Linked DNA regions of Astyanax mexicanus. The protein of the gene in region 3 interacts with the protein of the main gene of each other region in a pairwise test. Links are inferred from orthologs where the notes say so. Each region holds a gene or a part of one and is shown on either strand. Other genes may lie near its edges. The genes, in order: fas-binding factor 1 homolog, pak5 and tubgcp4.

Evidence for each region.
Region 1: the proteins of tubgcp4 (region 3) and fas-binding factor 1 homolog interact in a two-hybrid assay, tested with the Homo sapiens proteins (2 studies listed by BioGRID and IntAct). The two-hybrid records come from large-scale screens. The link is inferred for Astyanax mexicanus from reciprocal best matches to the Homo sapiens genes TUBGCP4 and FBF1.
Region 2: the proteins of tubgcp4 (region 3) and pak5 interact in a two-hybrid assay, tested with the Homo sapiens proteins (2 studies listed by BioGRID and IntAct). The two-hybrid records come from large-scale screens. The link is inferred for Astyanax mexicanus from reciprocal best matches to the Homo sapiens genes TUBGCP4 and PAK5.

The regions. Positions count from the first base shown.
Region 1 is NC_064410.1:17,740,337-17,748,384, reverse strand, and holds the start of fas-binding factor 1 homolog, read right to left. Parts: upstream 3,032-8,048; 5' UTR 2,555-3,031; coding exon 2,552-2,554; intron 2,219-2,551; coding exon 2,185-2,218; intron 2,096-2,184; coding exon 2,051-2,095; intron 557-2,050; coding exon 499-556; intron 378-498; coding exon 314-377; intron 233-313; coding exon 182-232; intron 1-181. UniProt on the Homo sapiens protein: Keratin-binding protein required for epithelial cell polarization. Involved in apical junction complex (AJC) assembly via its interaction with PARD3. Required for ciliogenesis.
Region 2 is NC_064408.1:73,057,621-73,065,071, reverse strand, and holds the start of pak5 (serine/threonine-protein kinase PAK 5), read left to right. Parts: upstream 1-4,441; 5' UTR 4,442-4,455; coding exon 4,456-4,561; intron 4,562-7,451.
Region 3 is NC_064430.1:32,433,612-32,441,201, forward strand, and holds the start of tubgcp4 (gamma-tubulin complex component 4), read right to left. Parts: upstream 3,069-7,590; 5' UTR 2,957-3,068; coding exon 2,879-2,956; intron 1-2,878. Other genes in the region: CDKN2A-interacting protein, read left to right, coding at 5,735-5,973, 6,637-6,764. UniProt on the Homo sapiens protein: Component of the gamma-tubulin ring complex (gTuRC) which mediates microtubule nucleation.

The DNA.
Region 1 (8,048 bases), on a different chromosome or scaffold from region 3:
TGCAAATAATAATAATAATAATAATGATAATAATAATAATAATAATACATGGAAAAATTGCTAAAAGTAATTGGAAATTACTAAAATATCATTATATTCTATGGTTAATCATTTCAGAGCTAGCACATTTAAGGCACATTTAATTCTGAAGTATAACTTTAAAAAGTAAACAGACGACCACCTTCATACTCTCCAACAAAGCCTTTGGATCTGCCTCAGACACATCAGAACCCTGCAAAACAACACAAGTCACTATTTATCTCTCTTAATTACCTTCCTTAAGCCACTTAAAAAAATAATACCACTCTCTCACCTCATCATCTTTCTCCGCCTCCTCCGCCAATTTACTGAAGAAATCATCATCATCCAGCAGAGACCTGTTTTCAGCAGATAATAGACCTGACAGATCAGTTTAAGTATATAGATAATTTCGAAAGTATGTGTATTTGAAGGTATGTATAACTTTATTTTATTAAAATTAGAAATATATATTTTCACCTCTTGCTGCTGCGTGATGGTAGGACTCCAGCGGGAGATCTGGTCTTCTTGGGAGGATCTAGAGGGCAAAAAGCACTTTTTCAGATACATTTTTTTACTGAAGTTCAGTGCAGATTAAAATGAAAAGGGTTTTAGTTTTTCACAAAATTAAGCACAAATGTACACTACAAGGATGCACTGACACAGGGAATCTGACATTGCAATGTACTAACATTTATTTACACTGACAACATGAAACATAACACAACATAAAAAAACACATTTTCCTGCTTTCAGTAGCAAACCTGTAAAAATGGTGGTATATATTAGGCAGTGACTGTCGATGTGTTGAAGCAAGAAAATGGAGAAGAGAAAGAATCTGAGACAATCTGACAAATTATGATAGGAAGAAGGTATGCAGCTGTCAGTTGCTGAAAGGTTGGACAATGTTATTGATATCCTATGTGATTAAAGGAGGCTGACCTCTCAGCTTTTAGGACAAACTTTTGCGTTGAGTATTTCTGGAGTTTTGTTGTACTATTTCTTATTATTTTAGCTTATCCACCTGAGACCCGGGAATTAAATTTTGTGCCACTCTTCTAACTTTTCTAATAACTGCATCAAAACGGTGACCCAATGACATTACCTAAACATTTGCATTCTTCTTTTGTGATGCTCTTGCAGGCAGTGTGTTTTGGGTCATTATCTTGCTGCGTGATGAAGGATCTCCCAATTCGTTTAGTTAAATCTTTCTTTAATTTGACAAAAAAAAAAAAAGTAGACTTCTGAGTACCCTTTACATCAAATGAAGATTAATCCCCCCAATCCCAGAAGAAGCCATGCAAGCCCAAGCCATGAGATATTCACCCCTGTGTTTCACTAATAAGTTTTTTACTCCAAAATTTAGCCTTTCCATCACCTTTGTAAAGGATAATGTTTGTGTCATCAGTCTATAATCAGTCCATAGACTTCTCTCTGTACTTCTTGGCAAATTCCAGCCTGGCTTTCCTATTCTTATTGTTAATTAGTGGTTTTCATATCTGGTAAAGCCTCTGTACTTTTGTTCATGAAGACTGTTATAGCTTCCCTCCTGCCCTCCTGTCACAAACAGTTGTTTTTGTCCCTTTCTTTACAGCATGCACAATGTTTCTGTCAACTGTGTATCAGACCCAGATGTAAATACCTGGAAATAAAAGCTAAAATGTTGATCTTTTATCTCATATTCTTCTCTTAATATTAAACCCAAATCATCAGCAGAATTGTTTGAGGGCATTACAACGAATTCTGTCGAGCTTTCAGTTTTCATAATCTGCTCTTGAATTTTGTCAATGTTCACATTTGTGATTACCGAAGTCCTGTTGTGCACTGAAGTGCACATATTGTAAAATGTAAGTAAAATTAGTTAAAAACAAAATAGTCTTTCCAATATGTTTGTTACCACCACAACACTTGATTTATATTTTAAAAAATCTAAATATATTTTCCCCCTTCTACATTTGGAATCACAGGGATAAACAGAAGTTCTTTTTACATTTTATGCAAAAGTTATACAAATAACACACAGGAATCTTACCATCACTGTCTCCCAAGAGATCCCCCAACACGTCATCAACTGACCCTAAAGCAAGGTGAAGTCTGGACTCAGTATGAACACAGTATGATGGCTGTAACAGGTTGTGTATGTGGTCCTACAGTTGAAGCACTTACCCCTCAGCCCCTTCTTCTTCTGCTGCTTTAAACTCTGCAGTGGTTAAAAGAAAGAGAAGTTTATAGTTAATATGATGCTTTATCCTTCATACTAATACTTACTATTATATACATATTTTTGTATAATAAAATGTTGACATTTATTGTTATTTCTTAATCAAAGATCAGTAACTTAGTCCTTCCAGGCTACTGTATCCCTATATCTGTCTCTATATGAGTCTATCTATATCCTGACCTATCCATAATCATAATCTATCTATATCATGATCTCAGGTAGCTCAGGAGGGCCAGGTTACACTGCTAGCTGTCTGTCGGTGGAGGATATGCAGTGAATCTGTGCAGTAAACAGAGGCTGTGAGACTCTTACCATCTCCTCCCTGCAGTGTTCAGCTCAGCCCGCAGAGAGTAAATCAGAGCAGCCTGAGCGTCCATGTCGCCATTGGCAACAGCATGTCCGGCTAAACCCACATTTCCGCTCTTCTATAATTATTTATCCCGCTTTATCGCCACCTCTTCTCTCCATAAATCAAAATGACTGAAGATATCAGGCTTCTGCTCCCCTGTCCGCCTCTATTCTTCCACTATAATACACCTGGTTAGCTCATTAGTTCATTAGCTAACGCTACCTAGCGTCAGTTAGTCAGCTAGGCTAAGCTAGGCTAGGCTAGGTTAGGTAGTTTCAAGTTAACTGAACCTAGTCGTTACTGGTCATGCTAAAGGAAGCAGCTACGAACTTGCTTAATTTTATCCCAAAATCGCCGGTCCTGCAGCCGATTACAGACTGCTGTCCTCTACTACACTTTTAAACCCTGTGTTTTGTGCTACGTGCTATGTGTTTCCTGTGTTGAATTGTGGGTAATGTAGTTCGGAGTCAGTTTAATCACCTGTCAAATATATTCCTTTAGTTTTAGATATTAGAATAATCTATTTCGCTAAAAGAAGCAAATAAACCATACCCCTATATTTTTAGGCACTGATTGGTTGGTGAGTTGATGCTGGAGATACAGTCAGAGCATATTTAAAAGCCCTATAACTAAAGTTTAAAATCTTTAAAAATTATGTCTCCATCACTGTAACAGTTAAATAGATCTGAGGATTATTCTCCTCTCTCTCTCTCTCTCTCTCTCTCTGAGAATACCCAACTAATAGGCCCTTTTGAGTTTGTACAGTTTGAATCATTGTTATACTGAAGAGTTTACTCGTTTTCTCATCACTAAACAACATCAGACATTCAAATACAGCTTTCAAATGCCAGCTATAAAGCTTTAAAACGCACTCTCGCTGTAATTCCATCAGCTCACAGTAGCAGTAATACAGTTCCTTTACTGCCTAAAACATACTGTAAAAAAGAAGTAAACATACGGGTACGTTTTTTAAGGAATATATACCCTGGGCAAGTAGATAGTATACTATTTTTAGTTTGAGTTTCAAATAATTATCTCCATTCACCTCCATACACCACTGCAGTCATGTCATTCTCTAGTCCTTGTATGCCCATATTTGGGGTTTCGTGTCTAAGCTGAATTTTTTCTATGGCTTGAATGTGAATGAGCTTTTTAAAATATCGCCTCTATTAAATTCTGTGGTCAATAATTATGTTCAGAGCTGCAGTACTCATTGAGGGCTAACTTGTGGGCTCCCTCTAGCGGTTCACAGTCATTTCCCGCTACAACAGGGGTTATAATCAATTCGTAAATTATTATTATTGTTTATCAGTTTAGCTTTCTGACGTTTTGAGGATAAATGCGAAAATTTCACTTCAATTTTTTAATTTTTAGGCAGTAATGGAAACAGTAAAAACTGGAAAAACAAACAAAAACACAATTTTCTATTTTCAAATTTAGCCTCAAGTGGTCAGAAAACTGAACTGACAAATGTTACACTTGCCTGTCTTCAGTATTTAAACATGTAGCTAGTAAGATTAAGTCATTGATGTAACATTAAGTCATGCTATGATGTATTTAATTATCTAATTTTATCAGACTTTTATGTCAAAGTGTGAATGGTAAAATAAATAAGGGTTTATTAAAAAAACATTTATTTGTTTATTTAATTACACAGATATATTTATTTGCATTTATAGTTACCTACTTTATTTCATGAAATGAGTACCAAAAGTAAAATGGTCACATTTTAAAATTCTATTTTCTTTATTGTTTAGCTATTCTGTTATTCTGTTTTTCATAAAATAATTCCTGTTGTACATAAAGCAGGAGTGATTTACAATTTTCTTATGCAGTAATACATTTTTTATGTTTAAAATTTCTAACATAGTTTGTTTTATGTTGATTTATTTTTCTAAAAATGTCAATATTATTTCATTTTTTTTAATTGAAAAATATATAAACAAAATTATGGATTACAGGACTACAATCAACATGTTTTGAAATATGTGGTTGCAGTGCATAACACCACCATCTGCTTATGAGCTATCACATAATGTGGGAGACTGTGGTTTAATTCCTGGTACACCAGTAGTTCCTAATACACCAACCAGTAAGAGTCCTTGGGCAAGACTCGTAACACTACATTGGCTCACCTCTGTAATAGGAATAACCTTGTAAGTCTCTGGTTAAGAGCGTCAGATAAATGATGTAAATGTAATATGAATTGAGTGTGCAAAAGTGATGAGGAATTAACGTCAGATTGGAAAGACAATTAATTGAAGTTAATGTTAAATGTTTAGCATTAATTTGAAATCTGTTAAATTACTGATTTATATTTGGCACTGTTTGCTGGGACCACCAGGGGGCGACGGCAGCACAGTTATTCTTATTCAGCCCTCAACAGAAAAGGCAAAACTTGTTATTCTTCTAGAAATCTGTGTACCCAGTTTACCTGCTGACAGTCCAGCTCAAAACCAGTTGGTAGCTGGTTTTATTGGTACAAACTGGTCTTGATGGTCATGGTGTTGTAAAAGCTGCTTATTCAGAAGAAAACATAGACTATACTGGTGAACGCTGCTATGGAGGTTGGTTTATGTGCTCAAAATTATCATCAAATAATCCAAAAAATGTTCACCCAGACATGATTTAAAAACTCTAAAGATTCTTACAGTAACCATCATGTCTTAAAGGGCTAAGGACAGTCTCAAACGAACACAAAGCAGCCTAGCCATCTGCATTAGAACTGCACAGACAGGCCTGATGGAATCTTGGAATGCGTGGCAGTTGCACGTCTCCAGGGGTCACAGGGGTTAAAGGACCTCCCTCCAGCTATAAATGCTTTTCATGCCAGGTTGTGAGAGTGGCGAGATATGAGCAGATATGAGAACGCTCATACTGTTTTCCATTTAACTCGAAAGTCTGATATCAGAGCTGGGAAATAAGTTACATCATAATTGACAGTGTTCCAGTTAAAAATTTAGATAACTATACTACTTTATTATAAAACCTTTTCAAAACTGTGTACTGTGTACTGGTTTGACAATGATTTAATGTTGTTATGCGCAAAACTTTATTTTTTTTGTATGTTTGTGACTGTGTTCCAGGTCCAGGTAAATTTTTGTACAAACCTTCTAATTCAAAGGTTTTTTTTTTTTTATTTAATTTGTTTATACATTGTAGATTAATTCTAAATGAAAACAATTAGGGACACATATGGAATTACGTAACATTAAAATTGTTTGTCCTCTACGATCTCCTGATCTAAACCTGATCAGATGAGATTTGGGATGAGCTGGAGCTTCACAGCGTAAAGGAAAAGCAGCAAATATTGTTCAGCACCACCAGGAACTATTCCAGGTGACTCTACCTCATGAAGACACTGAGATTAAAATACCAGTAGAGATCTATTTATGTTATGTTATGTTTATTTGATTTTAATGTTAAAATAAATCCAATATGATTAAGATGGTTATGTTAAAACTGTTGCAGCTTTTCTAAAGATTGACTTTATTTTCATTTAGAAACAATATTTTTCCACAGTACATGGACTCAATCAATCCCTATTTTTGGGAAAAACATATGGTTTTTAATTAGCCGCTTCCATGCTATGTACTGTATATTGGTTATCTTAGCATAGTTTAGCTTTTAGTTTTATGTTTACACATATTTGTTTAGTGGTTAAGTGCAGGGAAGTGTGGTGCTCTGTTTCTTAGATGCAGTTTAGTTTGCTTATCCCAGTTTGAGACACTTTAGAGCACAGCTTTAGAGCTTTTTTTTTAGAGCTGTTATGTTAAAGTTCTTTTGCCTTTTCTTCTTTAATTTTGTATGATTTTTTTTAACATGTCACTTTATTGTCCTGTATTTTATATCCAGGGTTATCCTTAGCATTGACCCAGTTTAGCCCAGTGTTACTGATACTAGTGAGATACTTTGCCAATAAAAGGGAAAACTGTTTCACATGGTACTGAAGAAGCAGGGATGCAGGAGTACCCTATAGCACTTTAGTTTAAAATTGTGCCAGCCCCTTAAAGCCTTGGCACATTATGACCCATCACCCAGAAAACCTAGAGAAATATCGACCTGATTAGCTGAAATTTGTAAAAGAAGTTCAGAAATGTAGCTATGGGAGTTTTCTTTACTATCACAATGTAGGGATCCTGCAGTGAACGGCTGCAGGCTGTAGCAGCTGGTTTAAGCACTGCTGACCCTCACATCCTTCAGGCCTTTAACTTAATGCCTGTGACTGATCACAACCTCATGTGTGACTAACAAACCTTACGTCTCACTCACCATGCTGCTGGGTGGTGGTGAGGGGTAGCTAACTTAACTAAGCTAAGTAAAGCTAACCTAGTAACAAAACCGTGATAAAAAGACTTTCTTTAAAAGTAAAACGCACAAAATTAAAATGAGCACTGACGATTTTTGGGAATATTAAAGAATTTTAAGTGCGCCTTATAGTGCAAAAAATACAATATCTCAAAAAAGTTAACATATTGTTAAATAATGTTGTCTAATACTAACATAAATCTAAGTTTAATTAAATGTATATTTCTATTAATTTAATAGTAAATCAAGTTCCTTGTGAATATTGTACACTCATTCAAAAAAGTCAACATTCAAAAAAATCAATCACAAAATCATTTATTCAACAGAATCACCTGTCCTTTCTCACATGTTCTTAAATCTCATTAGCATCTTGGCTTCCAAAAAGCAAAAAAGGCTAATCTGACAATGAAGCCTTTGCATGGCTGGGGAATCAAAGAAATATTATTGTGGGTTGTAATATTATTGGATGTTATGTAATGAATTATAATAGCTTTTGATTTATAGTCTGCATCTACAGATTCAAAGCTGCATCTCCAAAATGTTTCAAGGAACAAAAAATATAAAGATTTTTCAAATCAAATTAAAAAACATGACAAGAACTATTACCTATTATTAATTAATGAATCCAATTGAAATTATTCTAAAATTTATCCTAATCTGCTATCAATAAAAAATATCATCCCAGTTTTGTGGAGCTGCCTTTAACTTATATCCGTCACTTTCCACAGAAGAGGAGCTGCATTTGTAGTTAACGCAGCTAAATATAAAACATTCACCTGAACATCCATATGTCTGCTATTATCATTTTGTAGAGGAGAAACCAATACCAGAAAATCCTAACCCAGATACATTTCTTGGTTGTAAATCTCTAGTAAAGTGAAGGTGTCAGTGGTGCTTGAAAGGTTTACCTGTTATCTTCTCCTGCAGCCTCATGCCACCCAATGCATCTTTTTTACTCATCACTCATCATAACATGATGGATGGATGTTTTAGTTCCTTCAACCACAGATGCATCTCCTTTTTGTTGAAAGGCAGTGGATATAAGTTGTCTGGCTAGAAAGCTATGTGTTGTCCCCACATATGCTTTAAATATCTTGTTGGAATGTTGAGTTAGCATAGGTAGCTGCGTTATTGTCAGTATACACTGCAGTA
Region 2 (7,451 bases), on a different chromosome or scaffold from region 3:
GTCCGCGCTTGGTGTCGGTGTCAGCCTCTGGTCACAAACCTGATGCGGTGTGTACGAACGCGTGTGTAAACGCACACAAGGTGCCAGTGTGCCCCGGGGCGTGAGAGGAAGTGGAACAGAGGGTGAGGATAGCGGGCATCTGCAGCAGGATGATGGTGTGGGCCGGGCAGAGAGGCGACTGCCCCAAGTGCCGGAGCTCTGGGCTTAGCCTGTCTGCAGTGGGATGCTGCCGTCGGCACTTTTTTTGGCCCAATCTCACGTCGGGCGCTTTCAGAGTGCGCATGGGTGAGCAGCCCAGGGCGAGGCCCTCACTGCACCTCCGCTGAGGAAGGGCCCGGGAATGCCATTCTCTCCATACATGTGCTGGATGACACTTTTATGGAAGCTAATGTTGTGCCGAGTGTGGCGATCTTTCCGGAGCCGTCGTTTGGGCAAAAGGGAATAATGAATTTGATACCAGGTAAGACTGTATGCAGTGGTGGAGCTTATTGTAGTTGTTGTTGTGTAGAAACCTTGTACAGTGCTAAAACTAAAGGTGTTAATAGGTTCTTAAGAGCAGTGAAAAGATGTGTATGAGGCTTTCAGACCACAACGATGACAGGTTACTCTATCATTTATTGTAACAGCTATTCTTCCCAGAATTACAGAGTTTTAGCTTAAATATAGAATATTATTGTTGGCTAATCAGGTGAGAACAGTTGTAGTTTGCAGTTGCAATTGTTTGTTTACTAAATGTCATTCATGATGTGATGACGCAGATGATGCATGTGTTCATTCATGCATTTAGTAACTTGGCAGTCAGACCACGCTTTAGATGACCACCTGTTTGGGTCAGACTCAGTTTAGACTGGCATTGCCTTTCAGGAATAGAGTGTCTTCCTCTCTGATTCTTTTGTAAGGTGAGCTTTCAAGTGTCTTTGAATGACCACACAAACACACACAGGTCAGCTAGTCCGTTCATTTCAGTCATGTGACCTTTGACATTTGATGTTCATTTAGCAATGTTATTATATTGTGAACTAGAGGATTATTAGGAATTCTTCTAGAGAGCCTGTCACATAATTCTCCAAAAAATAATTGTGAAAATGGTACAATTGTAAAAAATGCAATTACAAGTTACTTTTAAAGAGCAACGACCTTTTAATTATTGAGTATATTGTACATACTGAAAGTGTACAATATTTTGTCAGGTGTTAAACGTGTCTCACTATACTTTTATGCACAGGTAACCAAAACAATTGTTTGATCATTGTGGGCGAGTCGCTGTGCACATGCACACTGTAGAAGCGATGAGGCAACACGTTGAAAAGTGGTCGTAGGTTGCCAGTTGAATACAAAACCCTTATTGAGGGGGGTGACTATAGTTCTAAGGTTTGAACAGACTTGTGAAATTATACAGGAGAGAAGTTGTTCTGTATAAATAAAACTAAGAAAGTCAGTATATTGGTATGCTGGAGTATACTCGTATTTGTACTTGTATACTTTACATAAATGAGTGTAAATGTAGTAAAAATAATGGATAATTTTGAGGTGAGAATAAAATGAATAAAATGATTTATTGCTAGGGTAAATATAGGTTATGACCAAATATTGTGTGACAAGTTGATCATGTAATTATTGTGACTTATAGGCCAAGCAGGAATTGTGTTATTACATTTTTCCCATGCTTGCATATGACATTAATCATTTACAACCACATCTTAATATCTTTTTTTTTTTGTTCATGTCCCTCACTAATTTGTCAAAATGACGTTTGCTTAGATACTGCTGCCTCTATTTTTGTTTGTAAGTGACTCACATTTGTCATTAGTGTGACCTGTGGCCTAAAATGCCCACACTCATTATCACTAGCCACTGTTGGCATTCTTTCAACACTGGATGATGATAACAGTGATAAGCACACACACACGATGAAGTGCGAAAAAAAAAAAAAACTTGTGAATTGTGATCTGATGATCATTTACTTTGGTAACACAGGGTTATATCAGTGGTACAGAAGAGAACACATGGCCTGAATCAGATTTAAAAAATTGGTTCTAAATTACAATAAAAAAAACAGGAAAAACTAATTGTACCTTTTTTACTAGTCCTGTACTCAGTCTTAGTAAAATTCTCCTTGCACAGTCTGTGCATTTCTTTATTCAGTTAAGAGTGCTATGTGTGCTGAATGCCGCACTAAGGCCCGTACTTTAGAGGATGTACAGGGAATGGAATGGTCTTATAAAGTTGCTCCTGGAGGCCTGAGAGTTATCAGCACATGTGTACAGGAGCCTGAAATAGCCACAGGGCCTGTGCTGTGAGCAGGGCTGTTGGGGAAGGGCCAGACCCGCTCTGTCCCACACTGCCACAGTGCTGCTCTGAGCGGGAAACGCCTGCCGTCTCTCAGATGGCGACAGATGGTTCAAGGGACAAACAGAACTTAAGGATCTGTGCCTAGTTCCCCCTTTCAGTGCCACATCTCAGACCCATGGCTGTTGCTGAACATGCTGGACGAGGACATTAACTCCTCTATCTCTGGCCTGGCTTTGGGGCCTAGTACTGGCTAATATCGATAGGTAGGTATGAAAATATTTGTGTTATTACAAAAATATGGAAGTATCTTAATAGAAGACGATATTTAAAGTACAGATATTCACAGGTATATACACATTCTTTGTATACACATTCTTTGTAGTTTTAAGTTAAACTGTTTTTTTTCCTGCAATAATCATTTTATAGTGATTGATTTTTGTTCCAATCCTTTCAGCTCTCAGACAGTAAAATTTTTTTCTTAATTTTTTAAAGTTCTTAAGAATTGTATTGATAATTAAATATTAATTTTCCACTTTATTATATAGCAGAGAATCAGAGCCTCTGATTGGCTCCATTCTATCCTGCCTGCTCCTCACAAAGCCCTAAGGAGACATTAGAGCTGATATTAATTAAAGTTACAAAAAAAAAAGAAAATTACATAGGTTATTTCTGTTGTCATGGCAACCCAGACAGCACTGATTTATGGAATATACAATGTTTCCATTGATATGATGCATGTTTTATCGGTTGATATGGACAACACTAATAATCACCAGTATGAAGTGTCCAATTCTTAGAGACCTATAAACTAATGTACCAAAAGTCATGGCACAGTCAGTAGCATCATGATCCATGACTTTTTCCTTGTCCTATGGAAGCTAAAGGGTGCTGCACTGATCTGTGGGATACGTGTGTTGGACCCACTGCATTGAATGTGGATGTGATTTGTGCCAGAGAACTGTTCACATGGACAGTTTTAGCCAGACACTTCTTGTCACGATCATTGCCTCTACTGCACTGTCCACTGTGGGCAGTAATGTCTTCTATTATTTATTACTACTAGTCTGTAGCACTCCACCCCATTACATTTCATTTTCCAAAACAGATTTTGTTTGTGGCCCGCCATGTAATGGCTTGGGAAAAAAGCTTGAGTTGATACTTAAGCTTCTACAGAATTATTTTAAACTGTAGTATCTAAACTTCTACCCGAGTAATAAATGTCAATACTTTTGACACCTTTGTAGAGCTTGCTTGGACTTGCTTGTATAAAGAACATGCTGGCCAGTGTTTATAGTGCAATTCCATGACTTTTGGAATGTCAGTGCATATAACTATGAATTTTGCAGTGTGACATTACTCCTTGATCTGGGAATAGACTCATAAAATAACCACCAGACGAGCAAATAAAATCTTTCTTATGGCACCTGCTGTCTTAACCTTGGCTTAATTCAGTGTTTCATTCAGAGAGGCAGGGTTTTGTTCCTCAGAAATGTGCATGGTGCAGGATTGCAACACAAACAGGAGGTTTCAGTATTAACTCTCAGTGAATTTCCTTCTTCTGTCTATAAAATAGAACTTTTGGACTTCCCAGTGCACGAACCAACCAAGAAAAGAAAAGCCTACATTATGCATATCCATGAGCTCATCCACTGAGGGAATCCTCCACAACCCTCTAGATTAACATTTCATTCAAAAACATGCATGGCAGTTCAATCGCTTTTCTACCTAAAAGCCTGCAAATGTAAGTGGTGTATGCAATTAGATTCAGTGATGGGTTTGCGTGTGGTTGACTTTTTACTGACAGCAGAGAAAAAAAGGCTCCCAGTGCCCTGCATTTCCTTTTTTTCCCCTTTAACTGTTGGCCCAGGATGCCTTAAGCCCTCTCTAGTCTGTGTAATCTCATTCCCAAGACGTCCATACTCATCTAGGTCATAGGTTTCATTTGGAGTATGACTGCAGACAGCCCCTTCACTCTCATCCCTCTGCTCATAATCCCGTCCAATCCCTTAAGCGTGGCGCGTTTGCGGAGCCGTGGCACAAGCAGTGCAAACCCCGGCACATTAAGGGCTTGTCTGGACGTCCATTGTCCAGAGTCCAGCCAAGCTTTACTGTCAAGTTTCGGAGTCGATTTTTATTGAGATGTCATGTCAGGATTTTGCTGTGATGTCAGGAATTATGACAGCAGGGCTCCTACAGCACGTCTCATCGCAGTGTTTGGACTGGGGCTTCAGAGACCAGGCTTCTGCACTGAAGATGAAGACTGAGTCAGGTCTATATGATCATAGATTTTGCCATGTACAAAATATGTCAATGTCTTCTCAGTGGAATACTGAAATATTTGCCTAAAGCAGTCGTTCAGTCAAGTGTGCGATTCTTTAGTTTTGATTTGGGGCTATTAGGCTAGTGTAGCTAACGTGATCACCAGTTTGCTCTCTGCAAATGATCACATAGCAAAAAGTCTGCTGCCCACTGTTATTAAACATGATTTAGAGCAGGCTCAACTCTCCAACAACAAATTAGGACTAAAGGGCGTTGGTCCTAATAAACCCAGCCGGCCAGATGACACTCTTTCAGCTCCCATTCACTCCTTTAGCTGCCCATTAAGTAAATCGCATAGTGGGAGGGGGATAGTCTTAGCTGATAATCTACTCTGTAACCTTGGATTAAAGACACTTTCAGGTCTCTGGGTGAAAAGTGTGTACTTATTCTGGTATACTGTGTTTATGTTGTTTCACCCAGACTTTGTTCTTTGGCTTTTTCTGGATTTTATTGGCTTTGGCCAATGTTTGGAGAGGGCCCTTTAAATGGACAGATAAATAAACAGCAATAGGCCACATTGGCAACACTTAGTGTGGGCATGAGGCCAAAGGAAGAAAGGGCTTTTGGCATGCCCGCATTGCGTAGGAGATGAGGTGAGGTGATTGACAAGTCAGCAGAATACAGATAAGGGCGCTGATAGAGGGGCTGGGAAAGCAGTGCTGTGCACAATCAGCTGTTATTTTGGGTCGATGATACATGTGTAAGGTATGAGAACAATTACCAGCCAGGTCTGTAAGCATTTGAATAGTGACACAATTTTGTATGTTCATTTACACTATGCAAGGTTTAAAAAAAATAATTGTGCTTCTTTTAGATGTGCAGTAACAATTTCAGCCGTAATAATTCAATCCACATTTTTTAAAGGCACACTATACATCATTTGGTTGATGTATAGAGATTCCCCCTATAGACTAAAAGTTCACTGTGGACTAGCCATGCGTGATTGTTTTGAGCACAACAGACTGGCAAAAGGGTTGAAAGTAAAATACAAGTATAAAAAATCTAATCTAAATCTAGGGTCATCAGTAAATGCTAGTCTAGGCAGACTTATTCATTCTGTGAGTTTTATGGTTAGCAAACACGACTAGATCTTGTACCCGTGTTTCTAATGTAAAGCAAGACTGAACTGAGGGCTACTCAACTTTTGTTCACTCTGTAATGACTAATTTAATTATCTAAAACAGTATAAAATGAATTGATTAACTAAAAAAATATTGTATAGTGTGCCTTTAATGGATCGTGTATTTCTTTTTAAAACCTTATCCAGTTCTTTAGTTTTGTGGTAACAGAGACCTATTCTGCTGTCCTTTAAACACTATTAACAGACATGATTTACAGCTACCGCAGTTAAAAGCATCTCAAATAATAACAAAAACAGTCTGCAGTTTGCCTGTATTCTGCCATTTTTGTCCATACCATCAAAACCACTGTTGGGTTGTACTTGTGCACGGACAGATAATTAATATAATTCTGTAATATCTACTTGGGGGCTCAATTGATCAGCCTTGTTTTTCCAGTCCATCTGGGGGAATTTGCAGTCAACAAGTCAACAAATTGATCTCTTTGTAATGTCCCTTAAACTATTCCTGAACCATTTTTAACTATTTTTTTACTGGCTGAAAGAGCCAGTTTGCCATGAAGGGCTTTGACATCCACATGGATGTTACAAACTCAGGGTTTTCCAGCAGAACTCATGTGCAACTCATGTGCTCAGTGTTGGAGTTTCCAGAGGACAGGGGTCAGCATGGGAACACCCACTAACTGTGAAACACATACTTCTGCTAGAACCAATATTTGGTAACAATTTATGCTACATTCCTGTGTGCAGTGTGACGTGGTTTACCAGATGTTTTGTAGTAAACACTACATATCTGGAACACAAGACCTGCTGTTTTGGAGATGCGCTCTGAGCCAGTCATCTAGATATATGCTAATATTGGTTTTAATTTTTTATCAGTATTCAGTGTCTGCTGTATATAAGATGTTTAGTGTAGAATTGTTTCCATATTCTGCATGGAAGTTAAAAAAAATGCATATAGTGATTCAGCCTGACAAAATTTTAATATAAGCATTCGAGCAAATATATATATATTTTTTTTGAATGACAGAACTACTGTGATTTCTGTAAGATTTCTTTAATTGTTTTAAATAACTACACGTGGGAAATAATTCATATTAAATTACCCCACACTTTTCATCACTGGCTGATATTTTTTTGTACTATTTAATAATTGATTTCTAAATTGTTAAGGCTTTGTTAAGGCTTTCCCTGTGCACTCATGATCTGAGATGATATGTATATGATGTTTATGAAGCCTGATGGCAACAGTCCAGCTAAACCTTTTTAATAGTGGAGAAGCCCTGAGTGCTTGTACTCTGTTCCAGTGCAAATGTATGCATGTGGCATATTCAGATTAGAGCTTCCAACTTTAGCGTCATCAACTGTGTTTCCAGAGCCTGGTTTGTTATCATCATAAAAAAAATCAACCTACTTTAAGGGTTAACTGCCTTGACTGAACACATGAGAGAAATTGTGTAGTACTTGGGCTAAACAGTGTATAGTTTCATTGTTATTGCAGTGTTGTCCTTTGCAGCGGAGATGTTGCTGCAGACTGCAAGTATGCAGTATGCAAATGAGGCCTTTAATACATCACATGTTTTAAGTGTGTTGTTTATTGTGAGCATGCTGACCAATATTGGAATTTCCTGATTTGTTATTGTAGGTATTTTGATGAACCAAATTTCTCACATGATCTAACAGAAATAATTATGTTGCTCAGAATAATCCAGATTGATTTGTTTAGTGAAGTAACATAAAGAGGTTACCAGTGTGTTTATGT
Region 3 (7,590 bases):
CACAGGGACAAGTTAAATCAAAGGTGTGTCCACTAATTAGCATCACAGGTGTCTTACAATATTGTAATCAGTCAGTGGGCCTATATACAGGGCTACAGGTAGTCACTGCGCTGTTTGACGACATGAGCTGTCTCAGGAGATTAGAAGGAAAAGTAAAAACAAGCATGTTAAAGGTAAAGGGTTTAAGACCATCTCCAAGCAGCTAGAAGTTCCAGTGACTACAGTTACTTATATTATTCAGAAATTTAAGATCCATGGGACTGTAGCCAACCTCCCTGGACATGGCGGCAGGAGGATAATTGATGACAACTGATGACAGATAATACGAATGGTAATAAAAGAGTCAAGAAAAAACAGTAAAGAGATTAAAGGTGAACTTTAAGCTCAGGAAACAGTCAGTGTCAGATCGGGAAACAACCAAGGAGACGTCATTGCTGAAAACAAAACATAAAAAAAGCCAGACTGGAATTTGCCACACTACATGTTGACAAGCCAAAAAGCTTCTAGGGGAATGTCATATGGACTGAAAAATGGAAGACAGACAGAATACAGACAGAAAAATGTAGCATATGAAGAAAAGAACACTGTCCCTACTGTGAAACATGGTGGAGGCTGCTTTACTGCATCTGGCACAGGGTGCCTTGAATCTGTGCAGGGTACAATGAAATCTTAAGACTATTAAAGGATTCTAGAGAGAAATGTGTTGCTCAGAAAGCTTGGTCTCAGTCGCAGGTCATGGGCCTTGCAACCAGATATTAGCCCAAAACACAGCTTAAAAACACCAAAGAATGGCTAAGAGGAAAACATTCGACTATTCTGAAGTGGCTTTCTATTAACCCTGACCTAAACTGAGCATCTTTGAAAGAAGCTGAAACAGGCTGTCTAGAAAAAACACCCTTCAAACCTGAGAAAACTGAAGCAGTTTGTTCATGAAATACCTGCTGAGAGGTGCAGAAGTCTTAGGAATCAATTGATTGCAGTGATTGCCTTAAATGGTTGTGCAAGCAAATATTAAGTTAAAGGTATTATAATTTCTGTCCAGCCTGTTTTATGAGCTTATTTGTTTTTAAATAAATCTGTTGAAGCATGGTTGCAAACAATGTCTGACCTTCGTTTGTTCATTTTCATAACATTTTAATTATTATTACTTCTATCAGATTCAAATTTTCTGTGACCATTGTGTGTTTTTCTTTTATTAACTGAGGGTACCAACAATTTTGTCCATGTCTGTACATATGGAGAGCAAACAGCCATGCTTCTTTATCTTAGGAGCTACAATTTAAACTTTGTAAGAAAACACTTCGTTTTCTATCACAGGCGATGATAGTGACTCACGGCACACCATCTTAATGAAGCAGAGGAGTGTACTCAGTGTCAGACTCCTGCTCAACAGACAGACTGGGTCAGTCACCCACAGGTATGGATGATCAGGGGCGGATTTGGAAGTTCTGGGGCCACAAGCAATGTTTTTTTTCCGGGGGCCCTGATCAAATGGATTCTTTTGTATAGCAAAATGCAATATTGACTCTGACGACCTAGCTGTCTCTGGTGCCTCATCCTCACCAGACGATTCTTTTCTTGCTGCTGTGAAAAAAATTGGTGAGCTTTGTTAAGCTTTCTGTGCTGGACTTCCTTTGCTTAATTTTCTTTCTTTTTTTGGGCACCAATGGGATAAGACCAATTTATGGTTGTGCCGAAGCTACCTTAGTCTACCTCGCCTAGCTAAACTTGCATGTACAAAAAATATATATATATTTTTTTCGTTTTTGCTTTGCGTGTTGGTAAAATCCACCCGTGTTAAGTATATGCACCTATGGGTACATGCACATGATTAATATACATTTTGTTACATGTATATTAGCACACCTAGTAACTTTATTCCAAATACAGTGTCATCTGCAACTTCCACTTTTGCTGTATGGATTATTTATTGGCTGATTGATTTACTGCACTGTTCTACCAAAGTTTTATATATCTATACTTCCTGTGTGTTTATGACTGTACAATGTGTTGTTTAAGCTACTGGATGCCCTAATTTCCTTTGGGATCAATTTAATGATCTATCTTTCTACACATATATTACTAAAATGACTAATACTGTAGTGTTTTGAGAAACACCGCCAAACATAAATCCAAAAGATGTAGTAATGTGAATGTAAGTGAATGAATAGTACCAACACACTACTGAACTTAATGCAGGATTTAACACAGTACTGAAACTTAGTACTGGAACTATTATGCACTCGTTTTACTTTCTGAGCCTTTAGCTTTATACCTCTATAGTTGCATTACTGTTATATGGGTTCTGTTTACAACAGTACGATAATTCCCTCTTTAATCCCCCATCACTGTTGCACTATTGTCTCTTGTCTCACGTATGTCTATATATGTGACCTTGTTATATTGTGCATTTAGTATCTCTCATTCTTTTATGATTCATATTTGTATATGAATATATTTGCTTTACTTGTTGTAACTTTGGGAAGGAGAGTATGTACCTGTACATATGCAGTATTGACAATAAAACTACTTGACTTGACTTTAAGTGCAGTGTATAGAAGAAGTCAGTGTGGCCTGGTCTGTGCACTATAAACAGCAGACAACAGTGCAACAATTACTGTTATTACCAATATTTCATAGTTTTTAGTGATTATATCTGAATAACTAGTTGAATATGATCAATAATTATATTCAGTATGATGAATGAATGAGATGATCGATCTCTTCTACACTAAGGGTTTCCACACAGCTGTGAATTAGGACACAAATATCACACTGGACTAAATTAATATTTATCTACAGCAGCTTACTATAGAGTAATATTTAATAACACAGAGTACTGGTTAACGGGTAAGTTATCTCATGCACATCTCGTTACCTGTAATCCATTCCTCTTATTCCATGTAAAAACAGTGCCGGGATATCCACTTAAAGCGAGCAGAAGCTCGTGGATCATGGTTACAGGTGATTATTAATATTTACAGTAATAACCGGTTACTCCACTGCATCCATTAACTTAAACCAGCGCGAGCTAAAGCAGCTAACACCAACACCGCCAAAACAGCCTCCCGGCGCCGGGAAATGTAGTCCTTCTGCCCAACGCAGCTAGGGAAATGTAGTCATTTAGCTCATCATAACTAGGGAATTGTAGTATTTTAGCTCAACGTAGCTAGGAGTTCGTCCCTTTTTGCTTTTGCAAAAACACATATTTAATAATAACCCGTTTTTAATGTTAGATCAAAGCAGGTTATGCTGCGTTTGAGCAGTGCTGCAAATAGGAAAGAACTATTAGTAAAAAAAATGAAATTGCACTGGAACAACGAGTTGTATTTACAAGTGGGAAGCTCGAAATTAGATTTTTTTTAATTCTTATTTTATTCTTATTATTCTTATATGTTGTGCAGAAATAATTAATTTTACGACAGTACAACACTTACATAGAAATAAAAACTCGAAAGGCTTCCTCATTTTCTTTACAGATTTTTTTTTTTTGGCAGAAATGCAATCTATATTTAAAAGAATACATTTTTGCAAAATATCTTAGGATCTATTCTATTTTGTATGTTTTTTTTATTTAAAATGGTCAAATATGCATTAAATATGAGGTCAAAGTTATAATTAGAATTCATAAAAGATAAACATTTAAAACATTAAAAACAAAGTTTTTTATAAATACGGGAAATGTAGTCCTTTGGCTCAAGCGAAACATGGGAAATGTAGTCCTGTAGCTCCAGGTTTCCTTAATATTGTTTTGGCTGGTACTTAATCCTCACCTGTTATGTGGACTCGACGAAAAGAGGCTCTCTAAAGGTTCTGGTTTTACCTTCTGCTTTTCCGGACTCGGATAACCTACTGCTGCTGGTTTTACTCTCAGCTCAGCGCTGTATATAATATAGTAATCACAGGCGCCTCTAATCACACACACTGGCGAACAGATAGCCTAGCCTGCCGCTGCTAACGCGCTGTACTGAGAATAAAGGGGACCAGCAGCTGCTGATGTGGTATTATGGGCTGTAATTAATATATGTGTATAGTTTACTGTATTTATCTGTCTGGGCGCTTATTTAGCTTCGCTGTGTTTTTACAGTTTTTACAGCTGGACAGATGGAGGCAGATGGTTAAAGATGGTTAAAGCGGTTTAAACTGTAGGGAACTCAGTTAGCTAACTAAAATAAACTAATCTATCTGTCTGTAATCTGGACCTGAATAACTGTGTGTGGGGGGGGGGGGGGAGTGGGGGGGAGACAGTCATATAGGTAACGTTATTAATCACAGCTGGTTTAATGGGAGCAACAGGAAGCTGAGCTTCATGTTTACAGATTACTTTACCCGGCTGTTCTGTCAGCAGTGCTGAGTGAATTACACGGACAGTTTTACCTGGATATTACAGATAATGTACAGATACACTGCAGAAACAGATTCCAGTATCTTTGTTTATTATAGCTTTAATGTCTTCGCATTTTTAAAACATGACTTTTCTTTTAAATAAGTTAAAAATGGATCTACAGTAAATCCAGTTCTTGCTGAACTTTCTTTTACCCCTTGTGTTAACATGACTGAGTCAATATATCAGCTTTGTTTAAACTGTGTTTTTATCAGTATTCACATCCCAATGTATGAATATTTGCCTGTTAACTATTCTTTACAAGAGACGAGATGGATTATCTTATATTATTTTATTAATGACATAATTTGTCTCTAAAACTGTCAATAGTATTGTTTATCTCAATAATTATCTCAAACAATTGATCATCCAAAATATATCAGATTAGAGGTGTGCTGTATTGCATTGAACAAAATAATATCGCCAACATTTTTGAATATCGTGAACTATATAAGACCCTGAAATATGGTGCCATATCACCCACCCATAAATATCACATCAGGGTACTAGTTTATTACTATTTTTAAGACAGAAAATATCACACTGTTCTCATTTTCAATTGTATATATACTAGACAAAGATTACATCTGTCCAGTATCATTTATTTTACTTTAATCCTGGATATATGGAGATATATGGAGTGTATTATTAGTATCATCACATTCTGGATCATTGATTTCTGTTACAAACCTGATAAAATTTGTGTATTATTTAATATCTCAGTTAGGGGTGTTCTATGTAATATCATATGCAATAATAAAATGTTATTTTCTTTTTGTTGCAGTAATGTATTTTTGAATTTTTATTTTAATATCAATGTTTTGTCATATCGGCAAAAGTATCGTTATAGCAAAAATACCAACAGGTCAAAACACAGTTTAGAACTAATTGATGGAATGATTGGTGTTTTCCTTTATGCTTCATTCGTTTTTTTTATGTTATGATTAGTGGTGTTACACGATTAAAAAAAATATTCTGTTTAAGCATGATGAATTTCGCCTTTTCTTTTTTTAAAGACTATTTTTTAAATAGTTAATTAAATGTAAACAAAAGAAGCATTTATAGATTTGCAAAATAAAATTATACTTATGTAAGTGGTGTTATTAAAAACAAAATCTGTATTGATCAAAACAGTAATTAATTATAAGAATTAATTGCTGGTAGCTCTATATTCCACATGTAACAACCTGGAAAGAGGAAATGGGCTTTTGAGAAAGAGAGAAGGACTGGCTGTGTTTGTGTGTATATAGTTGTGGGTGTGAGAGAAAGAGTAGATAAAAAAAATAATAATAATAAGTTGACAGTCATTTTGTGCTTTAACTAAAGTATTCTTTACCCACTTTTTTAGGGATGGCAGAAGGGAATGGAGATGTTTCTGAGTTCCTTAGTCAAAACCCGCACCTGGCACAATGGGTGGAGTCTTTAAAAGAGCACAATGAGACCAGTAAGCAGTGGCTCGCCAGGCGTGAATTTGTCCTTCGCAACTTGGAGACGTTTCCAAACCTCCAGCCGGGCACCATGAGCCCTAGCCTCGATAAACTCCTCTCTCTGTCCAAGGTTTGGGCCAACTCTGTGTTCCTAGGCTGTCGGTAAGCATTCTGTCCTTGTATGCAATCTTTATAGAAACACAAAGGGAGGGGGTTAATGAACTCACTCATACAGTTTACACTCAACTTGGTCTCCATAAGGGACAAAACACAACAGATTACATATTTACTCACTAAATACCAGAACATTTTGTATGTAAATGTCTTCTAGACAATTTGAGGTAATTTATAATCCCTCATTCAGCTGTTTCTATCATTTTGAAATGATGAAGAAAGGTAGGATTAGCAGCTGTACCTACAAGAAGCAGAAATAGATAACATGGCACAGATAGCAGATCACAGGGATCACGATTCAATACATCACAATATATTGCCGCACTCTAAACAAAGTGACATTGTGATTAAATGATTAGATTAAATCAAATATAAGGAAAAAATCATATAGAATGAAAACATTGTTATTATAAAATAAAACATGAATAAGAATAGTTAATTTTTCATTCAATCAGATCCGGTTTAAATTAACTACTGTGTGACACCAAACTTTACACCTAAACCACTTATTAATATTCAAGTCTGTGTTTTTGAAAGTAATCGCAAACAATATAGTGTGAAATGGTATTGATATTTTCTTACACCCTTATTATCTGCTAAAGTGCATTAGCTACACAGTGCTGTTGTTTTAAACATGTGCTTTTGTTGTAGATACCCCCAGCCTGTGGTGAACAAGGTGAATGAGATGGCAGAGGGGATCACTGTGAACGAAGCTGATGTTTGTGTTCACAAGACGAGAGGTGAAATCGTAGGGAAGGGGAAAAGACCTTTAACTTCAGGTGAGACAGACAGTGTGGCCTGTATACAGTCATGGGACCGCACTGTGCAAACTAATCGTAAAAAGGGGACGGCTTAAGGATGCCTACACCTTTATACCGTATTTTTTGGACCATAAGGCGCATTGGATCATAAGGCACACTAAGCGACCCTAGTAGGGATGCCTACATCAAAGTGAGCAAGGGTGCATGTTTCCCTTCTAATGGGGAAGCTGGGGAAGCGCAGTTAACAAAACCGCCTTAAAAAAAAAAATAAGAAAAATGTTACCCTGAATACCTTATATTTGGGTGAGTAAAGTGCTTTTGTTCATTTGCAGTAAGCTTAGATTTCCAATATTTTGTGTAAGGATGAGTTTTCAGTGAAGATTCTCCAGCACTAAGGCTGAGTGCAGCAGCATTAGCATTGGCAGCTAACCGCAGCGCTAGAACCCTGAGTGTTCCGGTAACCCATGATGCTATTAGCTTGCGGTTCATCTCACATAGCTTGTTTTAACACGGCAAACACACAGAATACAGTCCAATATACTCACCTCTGAACGGTAAAAGAGCTAGTGCTGAGGTTAGCGGTTAATGCTAATGCTTATAGTGCTGCACTTCAGTGGAGTGGCTTTACTGCTCCTTAATACCTGACTGGTAAAATTTATACATAAAGCACACTGCCAATTTTTGGGAAAATGAAAGGATTTTAATTTAAATAAATACAGTATGTTTTTTGTTGTTTGTGTGTGTGTGTGTGTGTGGGGGGGGGGGTGTTAATCATGGTGAGCAATGGCCAAAAATACTGTTATCGTGATATCATATTATTTCCTTTTTGCTACATAATCAATAT